3 linked regions of the Pelodiscus sinensis genome follow. The protein of the gene in region 2 binds, or shares a complex with, the protein of the main gene of each other region. Links are inferred from orthologs where the notes say so. Each region holds a gene or a part of one and is shown on either strand. Other genes may lie near its edges. The genes, in order: ZMPSTE24, prelamin-A/C and BANF1.

What was found.
Region 1: the proteins of prelamin-A/C (region 2) and ZMPSTE24 are in contact, whole or in part, in a crystal structure (PDB 2YPT), measured with the Homo sapiens proteins. The link is inferred for Pelodiscus sinensis from reciprocal best matches to the Homo sapiens genes LMNA and ZMPSTE24. Residues at the interface, in NP_001393912.1 of Homo sapiens: Cys661, Ser662, Ile663, Met664; in NP_005848.2 of Homo sapiens: Ser264, Asn265, Ala266, Tyr267, Phe268, Val332, His335, His339, Glu415, Leu438, Asn439, Asn442, His459, Arg465.
Region 3: the proteins of prelamin-A/C (region 2) and BANF1 are in contact, whole or in part, in a crystal structure (PDB 6GHD), measured with the Homo sapiens proteins. The link is inferred for Pelodiscus sinensis from reciprocal best matches to the Homo sapiens genes LMNA and BANF1. Residues at the interface, in NP_001393912.1 of Homo sapiens: Ser431, Gln432, His433, Ala434, Arg435, Met540, Lys542; in NP_001137457.1 of Homo sapiens: Val11, Ala12, Glu13, Pro14, Glu83, Asp86, Ala87, Phe88.

What each region holds. Positions count from the first base shown.
Region 1 is NC_134735.1:23,629,980-23,637,595, reverse strand, and holds the start of ZMPSTE24 (CAAX prenyl protease 1 homolog), read left to right. Parts: upstream 1-4,605; 5' UTR 4,606-4,676; coding exon 4,677-4,796; intron 4,797-7,616. UniProt on the Homo sapiens protein: Transmembrane metalloprotease whose catalytic activity is critical for processing lamin A/LMNA on the inner nuclear membrane and clearing clogged translocons on the endoplasmic reticulum.
Region 2 is NC_134734.1:16,695,175-16,702,165, forward strand, and holds the start of prelamin-A/C, read right to left. Parts: upstream 3,080-6,991; 5' UTR 3,062-3,079; intron 1-3,061.
Region 3 is NC_134721.1:33,018,391-33,026,327, reverse strand, and holds the start of BANF1 (barrier-to-autointegration factor), read left to right. Parts: upstream 1-4,869; 5' UTR 4,870-4,884; coding exon 4,885-4,888; intron 4,889-5,033; exon of another isoform or gene 5,034-5,178; intron 5,179-7,937. Other genes in the region: putative RNA-binding protein EIF1AD, read right to left, coding at 27-80, 1,118-1,226, 1,587-1,695, 2,597-2,683. UniProt on the Homo sapiens protein: Non-specific DNA-binding protein that plays key roles in mitotic nuclear reassembly, chromatin organization, DNA damage response, gene expression and intrinsic immunity against foreign DNA.

The sequences.
Region 1 (7,616 bases), on a different chromosome or scaffold from region 2:
TCGCCCGGAAGCCATCTCAGTTTAATGGTGCCCAGCCAGAGCTTGCTTCCTGAGTTCCTGTCCCACCCCTGAATAATTCTATCGACTATATGATTAGTCGATAGGACCACGCTGCAGGGATAGCTCCAGAATCCTGCTCGATCTGGGACTGTGCAGTCCTGGCTCATGCTGGCTCCAGGAGCCAACCGCCCTGTGGCTCTGCATTTTAAACCTCTCATATAGGCAGCAGGGATCAGAGAGCACAGGGCTTTTGTACATTTCAAAGGCTGAAGTGGGAACCAGTGCAAGCAGGAACTGCTTCAATCCCCATTCATGCTGTTTCCCCACTCCCCCCCCCCCCCCCCAGAGATGGTGCTTCCGCCTTTGCTGCTTCTCTCTCTGATAGAGGCAGCAAGGGGGGGGGAGAGTGACTAGTTTAGTCACTACTCGACTATCCGATAAGCTTATGCTTATCAGGTAGTCAACTAGTTGCTTATATCCATAACCCAACCATCTGCCCCAGACATGAGTCACCCTGCACCCAAACTCCTTCCCAGAGTTTGGACCTTGAATTCCCTCATGGACCCCAATGTTTCACCATGGGCTAAGCCCGGAGCTCCTCCCATGCTCCAAACCCCTTGACCCAAGACCAGAGCCAGCAGCCCAACCCTCTACCCCAGCCTGGTGAAAGTGAGTGGGGATGGGGAAGGAAGGGGAATGGAATGAGCAGGGGTGAGGCCTCAGAGAAGGAGTGGGAAGGAAGTGGGGCAAGGGTATTTGGGTTTGAGGTAGATCTTACATTGCACATACAGGCAGTCCCTGGGTTACGTGGATCCAACTTACGTCGGATCCCTACTTACGAACGGGGCTTTTCTCACCGCGGAGGACGCGGGTGGCAGGACCGCCGAGATGCACCGCGGTCCCGCCGCCCGCGTCCTCCGCGTCGAGAAAAGCCACTCCGCGTCTCCCTGGTCTGCTGGGGGAACCCCCCCCAGCAGACCAGGGAGACGCAGAGCAAAGCCACGGAGGATGCGGGCAGCGGGACCGCGGCGCGTCTCGGTGGTCCCGCTGCCCGCATCTCCCTAGTCTGCTGGGGGGGGCGCAGCTAGTGCGCCCCCCTCCCCTGCCCTCCCAGCAGACCAGGCTTTTCTCGCCGCTGGTCAGTTTCAGCAGTGGCTGAATCAGGACGCCTGGGGTAGAGCAGCTGGGGTGCTGCCGGGTTGGTCCCGCCGCGCCAAGGGTCGGCGCTACCAGACCAACCCAGCAGCACTCCAGTTGCTCTGCCCCAGGCATGTCCGATTCAGCCGCTGCTGGTCAGTTTCAACAGCGGTTGAATGTGGACGCCTGGGACAGAGCAGCTGGGGCGCTGCTGGGTTGGTCCCCGCAGCCCTGCACCTCGGTGCTGCGGGGACCAACCTGGCAGCACCCCAGCTGCTCTACCCCAGATATCCCCAAATCAGCTGCTACTGAAACTGATCAGCGGCTGATTCCAGGAAGCCCGGGGCAAAGCAGCTCTGCCTTGGGCTTCCTGTAGTTAGCCGCTGGTCAGTTTCAGCAGCGGCTGAATCGGGGACACCCGGGGTACAATATGTACCACTTCCGACTTACATAGAAATTCAACTTAAGAACAAACCCACAGTCCCTATCTTGTACGTAACCCGGGGACTGCCTGTATATTGAAAACGTGATCTTGTGGTTAAAAAGGTTGGCGACCACTGGTGTACACAAACTCATTCCCTTACCTCTCAAACTGCAAAGTTTCAAAATGCTAAATGAATAGTAGATGGTTGAGGTGGAATAGACCTGGAGAAGGAAAAGTATGGAGATAAACATGAGAAGGGAGGGATAGGCGTAGAAACAAACGTGTAATGGTTTGAGCAGCAGGTTCCAGAAGTCTTGAGGTCTTTCTGAATGTAGTTTTTATTGATATAAGATCTATCATACCATCTCTTACTAGAAGGGAAAAACCCAATAATGGCAGCGGGCCATAAGAGACCCAATTTGGGAATATTTTAATGAAATTCCTCAACCTGTGGGTAAGACAGGCCATGCATACATGCAAAATGCAAACACTGCAACAAAGATATGCAAGGACTGATTGCCTGAACGAAACATCATGAGAAGTGTTCCTTCTCAGGAGGATGCTGTGTTGAAGATGATGAAAGGAACATGTCTGAACATGAAGGATCTTGAGGTTGGTAAATTTTTATTTCATACTTCTTTCTTAAGGTCTGCCTTGTCTTCCTTTTGGACTATTCTTGAATTCTCATGTTTGAGCAAAAAAGTTGTTACTCTATGGTACTATCATTATTGATGCAGTTGTGCTAAAAAAAATAGATAAAATAAGCAAATTTTCCCTTTACCATTTCACTTTAAAGCAGTACCATCTAGGGATGTTAAGGACTAGTCTACGCCCTCTCTTGCTGCCTCTATCAGATAGAGGCAGCAAGGGGAGGGAAGACAGGGGTACTTCAAAGCAGCAGCACTGCACAGAGCCCGGGATCCCAGGCACCATGGGGTGCTGCCACTATGAAACGCAGTGGCGGGTTTCAAAGGAACAGTGCCACCCTATCAACTAATCAAATAGTCAATATAAAAATTCGACTATTCGATTAGTGAATTACACGATCCTTAACATCCTTAGTACGATCGTCAATTAATGCAAGGAGTAATACTAAATGAGCAAAACTTAAACAACGAACAATCTAGTAACACTTTAAAGACTAACAAAACATATAGATGGTATCATGAGCTTTCATAGGCACAAACCACTTCTTCAGATGACTGGAGTATTAAAAGTCCAGATCCAAGAATAAACAAGGGAAGGTGGAGTGGGGGGGGGGAGGTGGAGGGAGAGAGAGAAAAATAGTGAATTAGATTGTTCAAGTTACAAGAGGCTGATAAGAACAATTTGCACCTCTATAAGTACCCATTGTTTGTTCTTGTTGGTTAAGTCATTAAGTCATGGAAGATACTGTGTGAGCCAGCCAATATCTTTATTCATTCCTCTCTGATAGGAATCAAACTTGTAAATGAAGTTAACCATTCCCTGGTATTTGGCTTGTGGAATTGGCCTGAAACAACATGGTGACTTTGAGATCCATTAATGAGTGCCCAGACAGGTTAAAGTGTTCACACGTTTCTGTGTGTTGCCTTTTCAGATATCTGATTTGTGTCCATGGTAATAATTAAATAACTGCATTAACTTATCTTTTTATGAGAATCCATCCTCAACATACAGGATTCTCAAGACTATCCATTTTCAAGATCATCATTTTCGATAGTTTCAGAGTTATCTGCCAATGCTAGTCTTTCCATCACTAGCAAAAGGGGGGGATTACATCATCCAGAAACAACTGTAACCCCTTTTTCCTCCCTGGGTTACTTGGGAGCAGGTCACATTCACATGTGCCTGGGCGCCTGATGTTTTTAACAAAAAAGGAGATCCTGAGTAGCCTAGTACTTGCTGGGTTGAGGATTCTCTATCCACCCCATTTTGTTGCAGTCCCTTACTTCTAAAGGAATATTCAATGGCAGTGCTTCCATCTGGCTGGCCCTGTACACATTTAATGGTGTGCCTTAGGAGCCTCCAGAAATAAAATTATCCCAGTAATAATCTAGCTCTAACTCCAAAATAGCAATTATAAATAATATAAAACTAATTGATTAAATTAGAATTAACACACCTATACTTAACAATTTAAAGAAATGGGATTTAACAGATTAAAAGTGAATAAAATCAATTAATAAAGTATCATAGAATCATGGAGCTGGAAGAGCTCTCAGGAGGTCGTCAAGTCCAGCCCCCTGCCCAAAGCAGGACCAATCCCAACTAAATCAACCCGGCCGGGGTTTTGAGACTTAAAAACCTCTAGGGATGGAGATTCCACCACCTGCCTAGGGAACCCAGCCCAGCGCTTCCCCACCCGCCTAGGGAAATAGTTTTGCCTAATATCCAGCCTAGATCTCCCCCACTGTAACTTGAGCCCATTGCTCCTTGTTCTGCCCCCACTGAGACCAGCCTCTCCCCATCCCGTTGGGAACCCCCCTGCAGGGAGCTGCAGGCTGCTCTCAAATCCCCCCTCGCGCTTCGCGTCTGCGGACTGAACAGACCCAAGTGCCTCGGCCTCTCCCGCGGGCCGGGCGCTCCAGTGTCCGGTAACTGCTCCTGGCACAGCAGGGCCAGAAAATCCTCCCGCTCCTCACAATTACCCTATTGGCCCAGTGACGTCATGAACATCTGCCGCAACGTCCGTTAGGAAATGCAGCAGCCGGTCGCGCGTTCTCTGAGGTAAAACTAACCTGCACGGCGCGCGCTGCCAAGCCGAGCCCCGGCTCTGCCGCGGAACGGGGCACGCGCCCCGCAGGGCCCGGCCTGCAGCCCCTCCCCGGTGTCGCTGCAAATCTCTTAGCGCGCAGGGACAGGTCGAGAGCGACACGGCCTGTGACATCACCGAGCCGGAAGGGCGAGGGTTGCTGGGACGCCGCGCCGCATCCCGCCGGATTTCCAGTGGCGCCAAACCGGAAGCGGGAAGGGAGGTTTTGCTACGGCGCCGGAAGCCGAAGAGCGCGTTTTCCCGTGACGCTTGGCCGGAAGTCGGAGGGCGGGTTACGCCCTGACACCGGGCCGGAAACGGGGGGGCGGGTTTGCTGGGACGCCGGGCCGGAAGCTGCCTCGCGCACGAGGGCCCTGCGCCATGGCGGTGTTGCTGGGGGCGCTCTGGGCCGGGCTGCCCGTGGAGAAGCGGATCTTCTGCTCCGTGCTGCTCTTCTCCTGGGCTGTGTACCTGTGGGAGGCCTTCCTGGCGCGGCGGCAGGTCGGAACTCGGCGGCGGGGCGGGGCCTTTCTGGAGGGGCCTGCAGGGCTCCCCGCGGGGGCGCGCGGACCATTGGCGAGCGCCCGAAGAACGTTTAAAATGGGCCTTGACCGTTAGCCGCGCCCCGACTCCCGCGGGCCACACGGACACGTGGCCAGTAAAAGGGGTCATGGGGCCCCTTCCCCCAGGGCTTCCCCACCATCCTCTTACCAATAGGGATTAGTTCATCCCCCACCAAAACCCTCTGTGCAACTGTCCTGCAATTGCATTAACCCAGTGTGTGTTGGGGGGGAGTGTTCCCTCCAAGGGTTTCCTCCCCGAGCAGAATGAATGTTGTGTTGGGCACCAGTACTGAGTTCAGGTGGCTTGTTTGGATGTGCCACTGTGGCACCCAAGTTATTAATAAATGTCTTATAAACCTCGACCTTTTCCCTCTGCTACCATGTCTCCTCCCCTTCCTCCATCAGCTCCCCTGGTGCCTGCTGCTCCCAACATAAGAATGGCCGTACTGGGTCAGACCAAGTTCTTTCAGCCTTTCCCTCATAAATTGTGTTTTCTAGACATTTAATCATTTTTGTTGCTCTTTGCTGGACTTCCTAAGAACATAAGAACGGCCGTACTGGGTCAGACCAAAGGTCCTTCTAGCCCAGTATCCTGTCTGCTGACTGGCCAGCACCAGGTGCCCCAGAGAGGGTGGACCAAAGACAATGATCAAGCGATTTGTCTCGTGCCAGCCCTCTCCAGCCTCTGACAAACAGAGGCCAGGGACACCATTTCTATCCCCCAGCTAATAGCCTTTTATGGACCTAACCTCCAAGAAATTATCTAGCTTCTCTTTAAACTCTGTTATAGTTCTAGCCTTCACAGCCTCCTCTGGCAAGGAGTTCCACAGGTTGACTACACGCTGTGTGAAGAAGAACTTTCTTTTATTAGTTTTAAAACTGCTACCCATTAATTTGGTGTCCTCTGGTTCTTCTATTATGGGAACTAATAAATAACTTTTCTTTATTCACCCTTACCACACCACTCATGATTTTATAGACCTCTATCATATCCCCCCTCCGACTCCTCTTTTCTAAGCTGAAAAGTCCCAGTCTCTTTAGCCTCTCCTCATATGGGACCCATTCCAAACACCTAATCATTTTAGTTGCTCTTTTCTGAACCCTTTCAGAAATATCTTTTTTGAGGTCAGGAGACCACATCTGTACACAGTATTCAAGATGTGGGCGTAGCAGAGTTTTATACAGGGGCAGTAAGATATTTTGTGTCTCATTTTCTATCCCTTTCTTAATAATTCCTAACATCCTATTTGCCTTTTTGACCGCCACTGCACACTGTGTGGAAGTTTTCAGAGAACTGTCCACAATAATGCCAAGATCTCTTTCCTGATTTTCGTAGCGAAATTAGCCCCCATCACCTTCCTCTGCTGTCCTGACTCCTGCCCTTCTCACTGCCCTCAGCCTTCTTGAGACCTGCCCCCCTCCACCAGCCCTTCTCCTCCCCCCATGCCCACTCCGATCATGTGAGCTACCCCTCCTCATCCCTTCTCCTAACACCTCCCTCTACACACCTGCCCTGCCTCTCTCTTCTGGTGCTGGTCCCTCCCCTGCAGGTGTCTGCCCTTCTGCTTCACCCCCAGAATCCCCTGGCACCTGCACCTTCCCTTACCCCTTCACCCTCCTGGTGCCTCCCCCTTCCCTCACTGCCCCTACCCCTTTTTCCCTGATGTCCCCCCTTCCCCTCTCTGGAGTCCTCCCCCCCATTTGGGGGTGATCCCTGGGGGCTGCTGATGGGTTCTGTGGCTTCCATGAGTAACCCCTGCTGCTGGGGCCACTGAGACCTGTCACAAGAGAGGCCCAGGGTGTTCTCCAGCTGGCTCATGCACACTGCCACAGAGGGGTGCCCCGGGAAGGTTTGTGACAGGAAGAATTGGATTCCTGGCCAGACCTTGCTATGTGTGGCCAAGCAGACTGACCTCAGGGAAGCGCAGTCAGGGGCTCTGGCCCCAACTCCACCACTGGCCGCAGGGGGATGGCGCATGGTTCTGCCTCACGTTGTGCCTCAGTTTCCTGCCTGCCAAATGCTGCTGCACTCCATGATGCAGGGCTCCAGCAAGGGCGAGGGTCTCGCCTGGCGGTGCCTCCACTGTAGGGAGCTCACAGCACTCTGACCCTTTAAGCACGGCTGCATTGCCTGGCTCTGACCCCTCGCTGCCAGCGCCATGCGTACACTCGTGCATGGAGCCCCAACCTGGCTGGGCTCCAGGCAAGACGCACTTTCATTGTGGCTCCCTCCATTGCCTCCCAGGTAGGATTGCCGGGTGTCCGGTATTCTACCAGACAGTCCAGTTTTTGGGCCCTCTGGTAAAAAATTCCAGAAAATACCGGACATGTGCAATGTCCAGTATTTTCTGGTTTTCCAGCTGGGTGCCAGACGGAAGGATGGTGGGGCCACGGGGAATGGCTGGGAGGTGGGGCACGATCGGTGCTAGGAGCCTCTGGTTGAGTTTGGTGCCTTGGGGAGGGGAAGCCCTGTCCCTGCTCTTGAGCGCGTTGTAGAGCCGCAGCTGGACTCACGCTTCGCCAGGACTGTGCGCAGGACTGATGGCACCCCGGCATCTGCATGTGCCTGGGTCAGTCCCACTCCCTGCTGGCCGATTTGCCCCCCCCTCCCCCCCCCGACTCCTTCCCGGCCACCCCTGCTTCCTGCCAGCCGGTTCTCCTCATCCCGATCTCCCCCGGCCAGCCGCGCAGCCCCCAACCCCCCATCTCCTCCAGCCAGCTGCCCTCCCACCCCATCTCACCGGGCCAGCCACACTGC
Region 2 (6,991 bases):
GTGGGAACCCATGAGGGTCTCCATCTCTTGGGGTCTTCAAATCAAGACTGTCCACCTGTCTGGAAGAGATTCTTCCCCTGAGTTGGAGTGCTCGATAACAGGGTGAAATGTAATGCCGTGTCCTACTCACGGGGGTGGCCTTTCTGGCCATAAATGCTATGAATACGGCCCCTTTGCACCACACTGCCCTGGTGAGAAGCGGGTGGACGTGTAATTGAGACCCTTGTGTGGTTCTAGGATGGTGCAGAGGGGTCTCGGTGTAAAGGAGACTCCGCCCCAATCAATGAGTGATGGCACTGGCTGCTTTTGGCATCCTGATGCATGTACCAGCCTGCACCCGCTCTTGTTCCTGTCTTGTGCACTTGCCCCATGAATATACTGTCAGCTCTTGGTGCCACACTGACTCTCTCCTCCCCCGACAGGAATAGCTGCTTTCACACCCAGCAGGCACGCAACCCGGGAAGCTGCTTCTGCCAGCATGTCACCCCGCCAGCCTGTCTCACTCCTGCCCCAGAGGGACCCCCTCCAGGCGGGCGCATGCGAGGAGCTATTCTCCATGGTCCCCTCAGCACCAGGCCAAGGTGCCAATTAGTGCCACACCTTGTTTGTGAGTAATCCACCATGCAAAGGTTTTGTTTTAATGATCCTAGGGTGGCGGGGGGAGGGGGCTGGTTTCCTTTCCCACCCCCACTGCCCAGGACTGGGTGGCATGATCAGCTGTTCAAGTTCCCCTTTGCTGCTTGTATCTAATGCTCTGCACCCCCCACCGAGGTGTCTCACACCACTGAGTCTCCTTTAAAAGCTCAGCCAGCGAGCTTCATGCACCTTAATCCCTTAAGGTGGCCCACAACCCCTGTCACCCTAAACCCTGGGGTGAAAAGGAACTGGATAGGTACAGGACACTAGTAATAACTATGTAATAATGCACCTGCACCTCCTTACTCCGGGTATCCCTAATCCGTGGTACGGAGAAGGAGGCCGATCCCCACCAGCATGCAGCATGCTCCCGAGGCCTGGGAGTAGCAGGAGCACAGATCCACTTGTGCCCCTGGGAGCAGGGCACTGGGTAAGTGCACCAACTCATACCCAGAACCCACCATGTCCTCCCTGTAGGGTTGCCAGATACTTGCACAAAAAATCCAGAACATGGCGGGACAAAAATTGGTTCAACAACAAGAAAGGAAAAAAAAAAAAAAAAAAGGTTGCTGCGCCTTTAAATTCCTGTGCTTCTCGTTCCACCCACCCCTGCCCAGACACAGCAAGGGAAAAATGTCCCCACCAGTCTTCCATCTGAGAAACAGAAAATACAGGTATTTTCTGGGAGGTTTTACAGGACAGAAGACGCAATTACCAGACTGTCCAGGCGAAAACCGGACACCTGGCAACCCTACCTCCCTGGCCCGGCAACATCTTTAATCCGGCAGACCCTGTTTCCCAGGATTGCCAAATTAAAGAAGTTCAAGAATCTACAATATGCTACATTTGCATTGAGGGGGAAGGATGAAATTCAAGAAGGACAAAAGCAAAGTACTACACTTAGCAAGGAATAATCAATTGCTCAAATATCACATGGGAAGTGACTGCCAAGGAAGCGGTACTGCAGACCAGGGTCTCGGGATTATAGCGGATCACAAACTAAATACGAATCAACAATGGAACGCTGCTACCAAAAAAACCCCAAATCCCCAAACACCATTCTGGGATGCATTAGTAGGCATGTTGCAAGCAAGACATGAGAAGTAATTTTTCCCTCTACTCAGCATTCATAAGGCCTTAACTGGAGTCTTGTGCCCAGTTCTGGGCACTACATTTCAGGAAAGATGTGGACAAACAGGAGAAGGTCCAGAGAAGAGCAACAAAACCAATCAGAGAGTGATCAATTGTTCTTTTATCCACTGAGGATAGGACAAGAAGCAATGGACCTAAATCGCAAGCATGAGAGGTTTTGATTGGACATTAGGAAAACCTTCCCGTGGCAGGATAGTTAGGCACTAGAACACATGCCTACTGAGGCTGTGGAGGCTTTTTAGAGCATGTTAGACAAACATCAGCCAGACATGGTTTAAATCAGCAGCGGGCAAAAGCTTTGGATCTGATCCATCACAGTCCTCTGGGCTATCAATGTCCAACAGCCCAGGGAGAGTCTGAGGCAGGCTCCCTGCCGGCCGCGCCCCACCTGTGGCTCAAAGCAGCCAGCTGCTGGGGCCAGCCTGTGCGTCTCTGCACAGCACATGCCACATGGGAGAGGGGGAGAGAGGCTCTGCATGCTGCTCCCGCCCCCAGCACAATCCTTGCAGCTCCCATTGGCTGGAAGCCATGCTTGTGGAGGCAAGCGAGTGACGAAGCCCCTCCCCCCCACCAATGGCATGCCATACAGAGTCATGCATGGTCCTTTCTACACTCAGCCTTCATCCCAGACCTGCATCCCCTGCATAGAAAAATGTGGTTCTCGACCACTTACCAAAATCTTGGGATGCCCCCCCACCCATGAAAAGTTATTGCCCACCCTTGGTCTAGACAGTATTTAGTTCTGCCTCAGTGCAGGGGACTCGACTAGATCACCTACTCGGGTCCTTTCCAGCCCTGTATTGGTTTTCTCTGCTCCTTTGCTAGCTATGGCCCCATCCAGCCTCTCCACTGCTCCTTCCCAGTCGCTGTATTGAGCTGTCTTGAATTCACATCCCAGGCCGAATGTGTCTTTCCTAGACTCACTGGTCTCAGCATTTTACACTCACTTTGCACTGGTGTAAATGGTTATGCCAAGTTCAGAACAATGGAGAATCAGGCCCCATGGGACATCAGGTTCTAAATAGGAATAAATGTAAATTGCAGAATCGGAGACATAAAGAGACCTACTGATCCTAATCTCATGTGCAAGGCAAGCGGGAGTCAGGACTCCTGGGTTCTATTCCCAGCTCTGGGATGGGGGTTCAGCGGTCGTTTGAGCAGGGGCCTGGGTTTTATGCCCAGTTCCACCCAAACTGCCTTGCACAAAACAGCTCCATTTCCAACACCCTCCCTCATACAAAGCATCCCTCCCCCAGCCCTGCTGTGAGCCTACCTGCGATACAGAACTTGTACCACCATCTGGGACCACGGAGCTGGCATGAACTCTTCTACCAACAGCTGATGCTCTGTCTCAGTGCAGACCCCCATGGTCTCGGCAGCTGCTGGGTGTCTGTCTGGCCCCCATCCAACAGAAGCAGGAGGATCTGAGTTCTCTCTGCATGAGAGCAACCAGGACACGATGGGTATCTTCGCACCATCTCGCTGAAAATCTTTGTATCAGCGTCAAGCACCATCGTGGGTCCCAGGAATTGCTGGATGCTCCAAATTGCTGAGCATTTGCTCCTGGGATCTGCCTTCCCCTTTTGCAACAGAGCAGAAAATAGAAGGGAGACAGAAACACTCCGTTAAAAAGCTTGGAAGGCTCCCATACTAATTATGAACAAGAACATAGCGAACAGCAGCGGCTTGTGTTCCAGGATAGACATTGCACTTTTTTACTGTTATTTTTTATTATGAATTATTTCTGTTACAGTAGCACCACAGCACTCCACTTATGGATCAGGATCCCATAGCACAAGATGCTTATGAACACCAAACCAAAAGACTCTCTCCCTACACTACAAACTATCCTGCTAGGTATGATTATCTCCACTTCAGAGATGGGTAAACAAAGGCACAAAGCAGAGTTAGAAGCAGAACAAGGCATAGATCCAAGGAGTCCTGACTCCCCCTTGACTGCTCTAATCAATAGACCATGGTTTCCACACCAGGGCCAAAAATAGAACAAAGAGCCCCCAACCCCTATGCCTCATGTTCTAGCCACTACTTCCCACTGCTCTGGAGTAGGCCGGAAATGATTCGTAGATTCCAAGGCCAGAAGGGACCCAATATAACCATCTGGTCTGACCTCCTGGATAACATAGGCTCCAGAACTTCCCCAAAATAATTTCTAAAGCAAATCTTTTGGGAAAAAACCATCCCATCTCAATTTTTCAACAATGGAGAATCTACCATGACCCTGGATAAATTGTTCCAACGGATCATTGTTCTCACCATTACAAAATTACACCTTATTTCCACTCTGAATTTATCTAGTTTCCACTTCCAGCCATTGGATCGTGTTAGATCTTCCTCTGTTATTAAATATTTGTTCCCCACATAGATACTTGCAGACTGTGAGCAAGTCACCCCTTAACCCCCTCGCTTAGGCTGAGCTTTTTGTGTCTATCACCATGAAGCCTATTTTCTATTCCTTTAATCGTTCTCGTGGCTCTTCTCTGACCCCGCGCCAATTTATCAGCACTCTTCCCGAATTCTGGACACCAGAAGTGGACACAGTATTCCAGCAGTGCTTGCATGAGACAACAGAACCCCAAAGTCACCTTGTGTTGAACCTTAGACCACACTGTTTTATGGTGAATGCACAAAATCCTGAAACGAGGGATGTAAAAGGTTAACCGGTTACCTGGTAAGCATCATCCTAACCAGCATGCTTATTGGGTCAGCTGGTTAGCTGAGTAAATGTAATGTTTAACCGGTTAACTTTTTAAATGTTATTTTACACCCCTACTGAAACTAAAACAAAATCACCTTCCAAATGTCCCATGCTAAAACTTTCGGGAGGGGTTCCCCACTAGTCTGAGCCCTCCCTGCTCCCAACAGCCCCAGTACCGTTGCAGCATGTTCTGGAAACATGGATGAAATGTAGCAAAGTTATCCACGGGTGTGCATGTGTGTGGGGAAAGAGAAGCTGATACAAAGGCACAGGATTTTGTCAGCTGATTGCTCCCCCGTCCTGCAGATCCCAGAGTGGACCCCATGAGCTTTGGACATGCCCAGATGGTACAGCAATGGGTGTCTGTGACAGGCCAATGTCTGGCCCTTTGCCCTTAGCTGGCATCTTTTCCTCCCCCTGTATCCATGAGCAGCCCGAGGTGGGCTGCGGTAGCTGGCGCCCCAGGTGGAACACACGATCGGCGACCCCGCCTGCATGGCCGTCAATGGAGTGACGTCATCATCGGACGCCCGGACGCCCTGTGACATCATCATCGGGCGCCCTGGGCGCCCCATTGAAGGCAGTGCCCTAGGTGATGGCCAGGTTGGCCTATAGTCACAGGCCACCCCTGCCTGTATCTGAGGTTTCGCATGGACACAGCGGAGCCCCAGCATTCTGAAAGGGCCAGTTCACACCCAACCGGTCGGCATTTTTGGGGAGCAGGGAGCTTGTCTGTTTTATGTGTCTGAAAATTTACCGTCATCCTTACGTTGTGATGGAATCACATACAGAAACAGCAAACACTAACTAAAATGATTAATTAAATAATAATGACCCAAATAATTAATAATTGGTTAAAAATAGAAATAATGGCAAATAGGAACATATTTAGCAGCAGCAGCAGCCAGAGATCGGCTCATCTGGTGCAGGGATGTGCATGCTGGGGCAGAATGGCACATCCAAACGGGAGCATAGGGGCAGGGTGGCCGCTGCCCACCCTCAGAGCCTTTGAAGGCCAGAGAGTAGCAGGAATCAGAAGGGATTGGTGTTCCATGTAAGCTGGGCATTTGTGTGGCTACTCAGGAGAGATTCAAATGCTGCCCAGCTGATTAGCAGAGCTCCCACATCTGGGTTTTTTATTATAGTGGTGGTGCACATGGCCTCGGTGCACATAATATTTATACCACACCTGGATGGAAAAAGTCTGCACGTGGCTGAAAAAGATGGAAGGGAACATTGGAAGGAATCAGACATTTATCTGGATAATAAGAACATTTAGATTCATCCCCGGCTGGACTCAACTCAGGGCCTGATTCTACCTTGCCCAGAGTCTTGCACGGTCACTGACATTAGTGCAAAGTGAGTGTGAAATGCACTGGCGTAAATGACTGGGAGATACAAAGAATTAGAGAAGGGTTGAAAATCTTGCTGCGTCAGGGCATAAACCAACCTCTAACTAGGGATGTAAAGGGTTAACTGGTTACTGGGTAAGCATGACCCTTACTGGCATGCTTACCAGGGTAAACAATTAACTGGTGGGGGGCTGCTCCGGCTGAGCCTGGCCTGGCTGGAGCAGCCCATGATTCCGTGGGCTTGCTCAGGCTGCAGAAGCCCTGGCCAGGCTAGAGTAGCCCCTGGCGCACGATCACGGTGAACCCATTAAAACATTAAGTTTAACCAGCTAACTTTTTAACCAGGATTTTACATCCCTTCCTCTAACAGGTGGGGTCAAGAGGAAGCCTCCCCTCAGGCCATGTCACCCCAGAGGCGAAGGGGTTCTTACACCTTCTGCTGCCGAGGTCCAGGATATTGGGCTAGGCAGGCAGACCCCAAGTCTAACAGAATGGTAACTCGTATGTTCTGGGCTCTCCCAGCAGTTAAACCTGTTTTGCTAATTGCCCCACTCCCCACTGACATCCGAGACACATCAGGCCCATTTGCTTTCCATTTCCCCAATGATCAGCAATAAGCTCTGAAATTGGAGAGTCTGCTGCCGCTGTGACTAGCCCATGAAATATATCCATTGTGTTGGCCCCTTGGCCGGTTGTAAATGAGAGAGGGGGGAGCTCTGGGGACACATCCCAGCCCTGCTCCTGATAGAAAGTGGGGCAGGGGAATTTCCCAGGAAGCTGCATGCTGTAACTGCTGGCTTGATCTGCCTGGAACAAAATGCTTTCAAACAATTCTCTCCCTTCGATAAATGGCTTAGACTTTTCAAGCATTAGGTAACTTCCATTGGAATCCTCGTTAATGTAGCTACACATCTATGAGTAGCAGACAGTACCGGTTTGGTCAACTTAATGCTTCCTCTGTACTTACACACACACACACTCTGCATCACAAGCTTTCAAATACACGTACACGAGATACATAATTTGAACGCATGTCTTCTAAAAGGAGGTATGATGTGAAGTTCTCAAGTGATTACCCTAGAAACAAGGGTAAACAATGACCCCACCAAGATGTCCAATAGACCACTTTGAAATA
Region 3 (7,937 bases), on a different chromosome or scaffold from region 2:
AGCAGTTCCACTCCTTTCATACTCACCTCGCCTCAGAGCTGGGCTGACTTTCTGCAGTGTCAGAGGAGAAGGCCTCAGGCCTGTGGGGAGGAGAAAGACATGAGATGAGAGAGCAGCCCTGGCTTTGAGGCAATAGCTTAGGGAATGGGACACTTTCCCCTCTAGGGAGGGTTTTAGGGAATAAAATATGGGGCCTTTCCTCTTCACTCCAGCCCCTGCCCAGGGCATGTGACTATTTCAGCCAGCACAGACCTTTTTCCACCAAAACCCAAACTCATGGGAAAACCTCCTATGACAGTGTTTTCCAAGCTTCTCAGTTAAACTAGAACCTGAGACATGTTTTCAGCCATATTTTCAAAAGTTTTTTAGGAAGAAAAACTCCCTCTATTCTGTCCCTGCCTCCCTCCTAGTAAGGGTTGTAAATCAAGTGAGCAGAAGGTGCTGGGATCATGTGTAATCTAAGTCCTGTGTAACAGGCTCCAGGATGCCCTGAATTAATTCCTTTTCAAACTAGATTAAATCTTTCCAAACTGCATTTAAAAACTGCCAGCATGGTAGAATCCACCTGAGCCACTGCTCAGTTCCAGTGAATCCTCTGCCTTCCAGTATGACTGTTTAATTTCGGTTGCCAGTTGCCTTGTTTGATGTTTGTCTGCTAGATTGTAGAGCCTGTTGTCAAATTTCTGTTCCCATGGCAGGTGGGGATAGCCTGGGATCAAGTTACCCCCTAAGCTAAGGTTGAGTTCTGTCACCGGTCCTCTTTTTCTTGTGGCTCTTCTCTGACCTCTCTAATTTATCAAAATGTTCCTTGAATTGGGGCCCCATGGTTCCAGCAACAGTCATACCAGCCCCCAACTGAATACCAACAGCATCAAAGCACAGGTTTCCCTGCTAGAGATTTACTGCCCCATTTGCACCATGGAGCTACCCTCCTCCCCAAGCTGACTGCTTTGCATCTATTCCTACAGCTCATGTGTGATGGAAATCTCAGCTTCAGGAAGGACACTCAAGCCAATGCCAATCCTCACTAACACTTTCTCCAGCACCTTGGTGGCAGGCAAGAGCAGGGACTTTAGGAGCTTGTAGTTCAGCATCCTCCCCCATGTCCGACTCTTACCAGAGCCCTTCTTTCTTTAGGTATCGCATGTGGTCCTTGTATAACACAAAGTTGATCTCAGCCTTCACTTTCTCACCCTCTTCAATAGGGTCCACCAGCAGAAAGTCCCCTGCAATGATAGAGACACAGTGTGTCGGTGGGAAGGAGGGTTGGCTGATTTTTAGGAGATGGAGAATGTGGTACTGGGCCTCTTCCCTCTAGGAGGGTGCTAGATCTCAGCTAGCCCCGGGGTAGGGGGAACTCATGGATAGCAGCGGTGGATTTAGGGCAGAGCAAGTGGGGCGGCTGCCTTGGGCTCCGCGCATGCGCCATGTCAAAGGGGGGGCCCCCGTGAAATTGTGCTGCCCGCGGTGCACTCATCCACCCCTGGTGGATAGTAGTACTCCTACTCTAAATGGTGTTCAGGGGAGGGGGCATATGGGGCCTTTCCCCTCTAGGGGTGCCATGAACCTAGTTGCACTGTACTCACCTCGTTTGATCCAGATGTTCTTGCGGAACTTTGTGGGCATGCTCACTAAGAATCTGGTTCCCTCGGCCGTTTCTACCTCATGGAGGTTGTTTCCTGGGGTCCCTAGGACCTGGAGGGAGGAACAAATTGATAGGAAGGGGGATTAACCACAGAAACTGCTTCCTGGAGAAATGGATTCTCCAGCACTTAGCACCTACAGATCAGAGCCTGCCTCAAAGTGACACTCTAGCTCAACCACCAGAGATGGGCTGGATGCAGGATTGGCAGGGAGGAGTATTCCACAATCTGACTTACATGGGAGGTCAGATTCGATGATCAGGCTGATCACCTTCTGGCTTTGAAATCTACTACCCATGTATGGCTTTTAGATGGCTCACACTCCACCTGTTCTGCCTTGCTCATGCCACTAGCAGCTCTGCAGCAAGCCAATGGGGAACTCCTGATGCATGAGCTTGGAGTGCACTCATCTGCAAGGAGCATGAACAGGTTTTCCTCCCTAAGGCTAGGTCTACACCATAGCTTTTTTTTTTTCCGGGAAAAAGCTACACAAATTGTACTCCGCAATTTGTGTCGCTTTTTCCAATTGGTTTTCCAGAAGAGGCTTTTCCACCATCTGGCCCAGTCAAGAAGGGGCCAAATGGCGGAAAAGCGGCCTCTTTCAGAGGAGACCTTATTCCTTCTAGAACGAGATATACAGGACTCCCCAAAAGAGTGCATTTGGTCTTCTGCAAAAAAAGTGGAAGAGCAACTGCGTTCCCTGGACACGGCAGAGTTTTTCCAGGGTATCCTGGAAAACCCCTGCAGTCAAGATGTACCCTAATACGCAACTAAACAGATGTATTCAGGGATTTTCTTGCCTTCTGCTGAAGCTCAGAGCGTGAGGGGTGGGATGGCAAGAATAGCTTAGGTGAGACATATCCAGATGCTTCCCAGCAACCCAAACCTCATGCTGCAGAGGAAAGTGAAAAGTCCCAGTGGAGCCCAGCAAAGAGGGCTACTTCCTTCCTCACCCGGACAATCTGCTGTTGAGGAGATGGAACCACATACTCCTCCAACACTTCTTTCACCACATGCTTGCGTTTGGTTGCTTGGGACATCCTGGTGAGTTAGCCCTCAGGAACAGGATCCTCACAGGGCAGGTGAAGTGGTGAATAGCTGGAAGGCACACTTGCTCTGGAAGGCTAGCCGAAGAGAAGGAACAGAGGGAGAAGAGCCTTGTTGCATCTCCCCAAGATCAAATAAGCTTCTAAAGGCAAAAAGTCCCCCCAGTGAGCAGGGTCCTGGAGTAGGAGCCAGGATAGCTGGGTTCTGTTGCATGCTCTGCTGCTGTCTTTGGTCCAGTCCTTTTGCCACTCACTCCATTTTCCCATACATACCACTTGGCTACATCTAGACTGGCCCCTTCTTCGGAAGAGGCATGCTAATTTCGAACTTTGGAAGTAGGAATAAGAGATCCTCCGGAATAGGGCTTTATTCCGGAGGATTGCGCCAGTCTGGACGCTCTTTTCCAGCTTTTCCCCAACCCGGAAAAAAAAGCGGCGGCCATGTTTATTTAAATCCCCCGCAGATTTCCCTATTCCAAAGTTCGAAATTAGCATGCCTCTTCGGAAGAAGGGGCCAGTCTAGACGTAGCCCTTCTGTCTAGATGGAGTACAAGCTGTGTGGGGCAGGGACTACCTCCAAGAGTCTGTGTACCCCCTGGCATGATGGCATCAGTCTGTACAGTACCCAATACCATGTGCACACAGAGTACCTGTCAGCCCCCTTACTGAGATCAGGGTCTCACTGTGTCAGGCGTTGCATGGACACACACTAAGACAGTCCATGCCCTAAGAAGCTCACTGTCTAAACAAACAAATGGCTGAAGGAGAAAATGAGGCAGAATAGAACCCAAGGATCTCTGGATCCCAGGCCAGTGCCTTGCTCATTAGACCATACTTCCTAGTCATCAAGAACAACCCCTTGTTATCAGGTTTATTAGAGATTCCCCATTTGTCTTATCTACTCCACTTAAAATGGGGGCATAGATTTCTCTCAGAGGAAGCCAGGAGTACCAGTACCTGTGTGGAGGATAAAGAGAGGCTGTCCGTCTCTGACAGCTGAGGATCCAGCGCTGAATTCACTCTTGGAGGCATTCACTGGCACTGGATACTCTAGGAACAAAGACAATTTTATGGCTTGTGGAAATGGACTGAGACTCCCTTACCCAGGGAATGAGGTAGCTTCAAGATTCCTCTATTCTGCTGGAAATTTTCAGGCCAAACTCCACACATTGTCTCCCACAGTAAGAATTCCACTGAAAATTTTTTAGCTGTGAATCTGAAAGTGTTTTAACACAAGGAGGTAAGGATTGTCAATAAGGAACTGATGCAGGGAGAGGAGAAGGGACCACACAGGCAAACAGTGGGAGGTGAAACTGAGGAACAGACACATTATAACAGAATAACATTCAGGCAATTCTACTGATGATTTGCATGAGAAAGTTAATTCTTTAGGGCTGCATTAACTTCCCAGGTAAAATCTCATCTACATCACAGAATGAAACAAAGATCCTATAGGAGATCATGGAAACAAAAAAAAGAGATTGATCCAATGTCACTTTGTGCCTTAACCCTGTTATGGCTTCCTTGCAACTGGAGACAGATGTGTTGGGGTCGAGTAAATCTGTCAGCTCCGTGACTCAGTTTCCTCATATAAGAAGATGCCAGTCCGTGCTGAGACTCACTGCAGTCCTGCCCTACGCTTCAAGCCCCCAGGCCTCTCCCAGAGCTACAATGGAACCCAGGGGTCGGGCTCCGCTCCCCCAGGGTGGGATTAATCCCATTGGATTCTCCACCTCCCCGCCCAGCTGTGACGGCCAGATCCCCTCTCGGGCTAGTCCATGTCGCCGTGCTGGGGGCAGGGAGCGCCTTGCCCTGCACGCCCCCGGGAGTTCCCTGTTCCGCTCATTGGCCGGGGGAGAAAACTGCCGCTGCTCCTAGGGGCTGGACTGGGGGGGGGGGGGTGAGGGGCTGCCGCCTCCCGTCCCTACCTCTCTGCACATGGGACGGAGTCACCCGCTTCCGGCTCCAAGTCCTGAACCTCCCCCAAACCTTTCAGCGTAAACTTCCGGGTGTTCCGGGCGCTTCCTGTCTCACTTCCGGGAGCCCCTCCCCCCACCATGATGTCCCCTGATGCTCTCCTTGGGCTCCCGAGGCAGCCCCGCGGGCAGGGCTATTATTATGGGATGGAGGGGTTGTCGCGGACCACAGGCAGCGTCAGAGGCTGCCTCGCGCCGTCGGTTACTGTGACCGGGAGGATGAGTTGGTATCACAGAGTTTTCAGTTGCCTAGAGTGTAGATGCTGAACTCTATCATCCAAAGGTGGCTGGAGCGGCCCAGAGCCGTTGGGAATCATAGAGCAGATGTGGATCGCTCCTGGCTGGGACTAGAGCATTATAGAGCGCCGCCTACTCTCTATGGTTATATGGGGCGCGAAGAGGAGCGCGTGCTGGCGTGGCCTGGAAGCGGAAGTGGTGTTTGCGCAGGCGCAGTGGGTGGCCGGTTGGGCGGGAGCGGCGGTGTTTGAGGCGCTGCAGCAGCGAGCGGAGCTGGTGGGTCGCTGCGGTGTCGGACGCGGGCCTCGGGCAGGATGAAGGCGGCTGAGGGCGGGAACGGGCCAGTGGGGGAACCTGAGGCGTGGGGGAAGGAGCAGTTCGGGGAGCGCTCAGGGGCCTCTGGGGAGGGCGGGCGGTAGCTGGGCATGTGTCTGCGAGGGCGCGGCCGGGGGGGGCGGAGAGGAGCGCGGGGAAGGGCTGGGTATATCCTGGTGTGATTTAGGGTGGGATGAATTGGGGAGAAGAGGGGGGAGGGAGGTTGGCTGAGGATGCCCGAGGAAGGGATTGGAGTGTTCGGGGGGGGGGCTTCTGCAAGGATGGTTCCTAGTGGGAGGTCTGGCCTTACCCATAGGGAGGGGAGATCTCTAGGAGGTGGGGCTGGGGATATGGGCCTGGGGAAGTTGTTAGCTAGTGCTGGTAGTAATCATTACTTAACTCTGCTCGTTAGTAGCTCTCAAGAGGTGTAAAGGTGAGTTAGTATTGTCCATTTTAGCGATTGGGAAGCTGAGGTCAGCTGCTGGAGCTGGGAATAGAACCCAAGTCTTTTTGAGTTTAGTTCACTGCTCTATCTGCTGGGCTACATTGTGGGGAAAGGAAAAGTAGAGTGGAAGCCTGAAACTAGGGTGTGTGGGGTTTTTTTTTTTTTTTTTGGTAAAGGATAGTGCTCAGGTTGTTGGGCAGGTGTGATGAGTTAGGACTTCTGGTGATAAGAGAGGGATTGGTGGTATATAGCTGGTGTGTCTGGGAATGCTGGGAGTACCTGTAGTGATGAGTGGTACCTCTTGGGGGTTGGAAATTGTCTGACAAAGATTGGGATGGGAACAAGGTAGTGGAAGGTGTTGCTGAATGTGTGGAAAGAAGGTCTGGGAGGTAGGCAGTTGGGTTGAGTGCTAGGACACGGGAAGGGAGGGTGAGGATATGTATAAAGGAAGCTTTATCTGGTGAAGACGTGCCAAGTGCAGGATCTAAAAGGGCTGAGGATGCCTGGAAAAAAGGCGTCTTTTGGGAGGGATGGAGAGAATGGCTGCAGAGTCTGTGCAAGGGGTTTGTTGGTATTTGGATGTAAGGCTAGGGCTGAGGGTGCACATGGAAGGAATGAAATCATCACTGAGACTGGATGTTCTGCAGAAAGTAGGGAATTCAGGGGTCTTTGTTGGGGGTGTCACAGATCCATGGGCTCGATGCTCTTTACTGCTCTGGGCCCTTTTAGGTCCCTTTAGGACCTCACATACTCACTGGTGTAAGCCCCTTGACTTTGCTGCCTCTTGGAACTAGACCTCAGAGCAGTCAGCAATCCTGCTGAACCTTTGAGCTCCCCTCCAGTGAGTCCACTTGAATTGGATGCCTGAGGAAGACTTGTACACCCAGAGTGAGCAAGGCAGCTCTGACTCCATGACCCCAGAAGCAACTCGGTGTAGTAGAAACGAAAGGATTTGATAGAGGCAGCAAGGGAAGGGGGAAGCGACTAGTCGATGATCCGATAAGCATTTGCTTATCGGATCGTCGACTAGTCCTTAACATCCCTAATTCATGTATGGAATCATTTTTATGTGCATCAAGGAAGTAAGAAACACAAACCTAGCAATGGGCTTTCTGCTAATCAGTTGCGCCCGCACAAGCTTCCAGTTTACAGGGAGCACCAGTAGCAGAATGTATTTGTCAAGAACATACAGAGTCAAATTAAACTACTAGTTTCTTCTGAGAGTGTAACAATCCTTGTGGATTGAGGATAAGCAGTAGATGTGGTGTATCTTGACTTCAGTCGGACTTTTGATATATTTCACATGACATTTTCATAAACTAGAGAATTACAATTTGGATAGCGCTACTACAAAGTGGGTGCGTAGTTGACTGGAAAACTGGAAATTTGTAGGCCATACCAATCTGGGGGGCATTGCCAGTGCTTTGGAAGATAGGATTAAAATTCAAAATGATCTAGATAAACTGGAGGAATAGTCTGAAGTAAATAGTATGTAATTCAATATGGATAAATATAAAGTACTCCACTTAGGAAAGAACAGTTAATTGCATGCATGCGAGGGATGTATAATCAGCATTAATCAGTTAACCTAATGTTTAACTGGTTAACTTAATGTTTAACCAGTTAAATAAGCAGCGTCTCAGGTTGGAGACTATTCCAGCCCAGCTGGAGCAGCCCCCAGCCCAAGGAGCTCCTGTTCCCACACCAGGCCAAGCTAGGGATGTAAGTGACTAGTCAAGTACTATTGGATAGTCAATTGACCACTTGACTACTTGCTTCCTATATCAGAGGCATCAAGTTGGGGAGGAAGCCATCTTAAAAGCAAGTTCCCCCCAGCACAGTCTCCGTGGTGTGTGTGAGGGGGGGGCAGGGGGTGGAGGTAGATCCACAGCAGTCCTGGAGCCAGCACGAGCTGGGACTGCTCAGTCCTGGCTCTCACTGGCTCTGAGAATTACCCCCGCTGCAGCTCTGCAGTTTAAATGTAGTAGCAGCTGCCAGGCTGCCTGCATTCCTGGCTCTTACTATATTTAAACTGCAGAGCCACAGCAGGGTTAGCTCCGGGACCTGGTGTGAGCCGTGACTGACTGCCTCCCCTTATCGACTAATCGTGTAGTCAGTACAAATTGTATCAACTATTGGATAAATATAGTTAATTGCATGCATGCGAGGGATGTATAATCACCATTAATCAGTTAACCTAATGTTTAACTGGTTAACTTAATGTTTAACCAGTTAAATAAGCAACTATCGGTTACCCACTTCTTACAATCCTTAG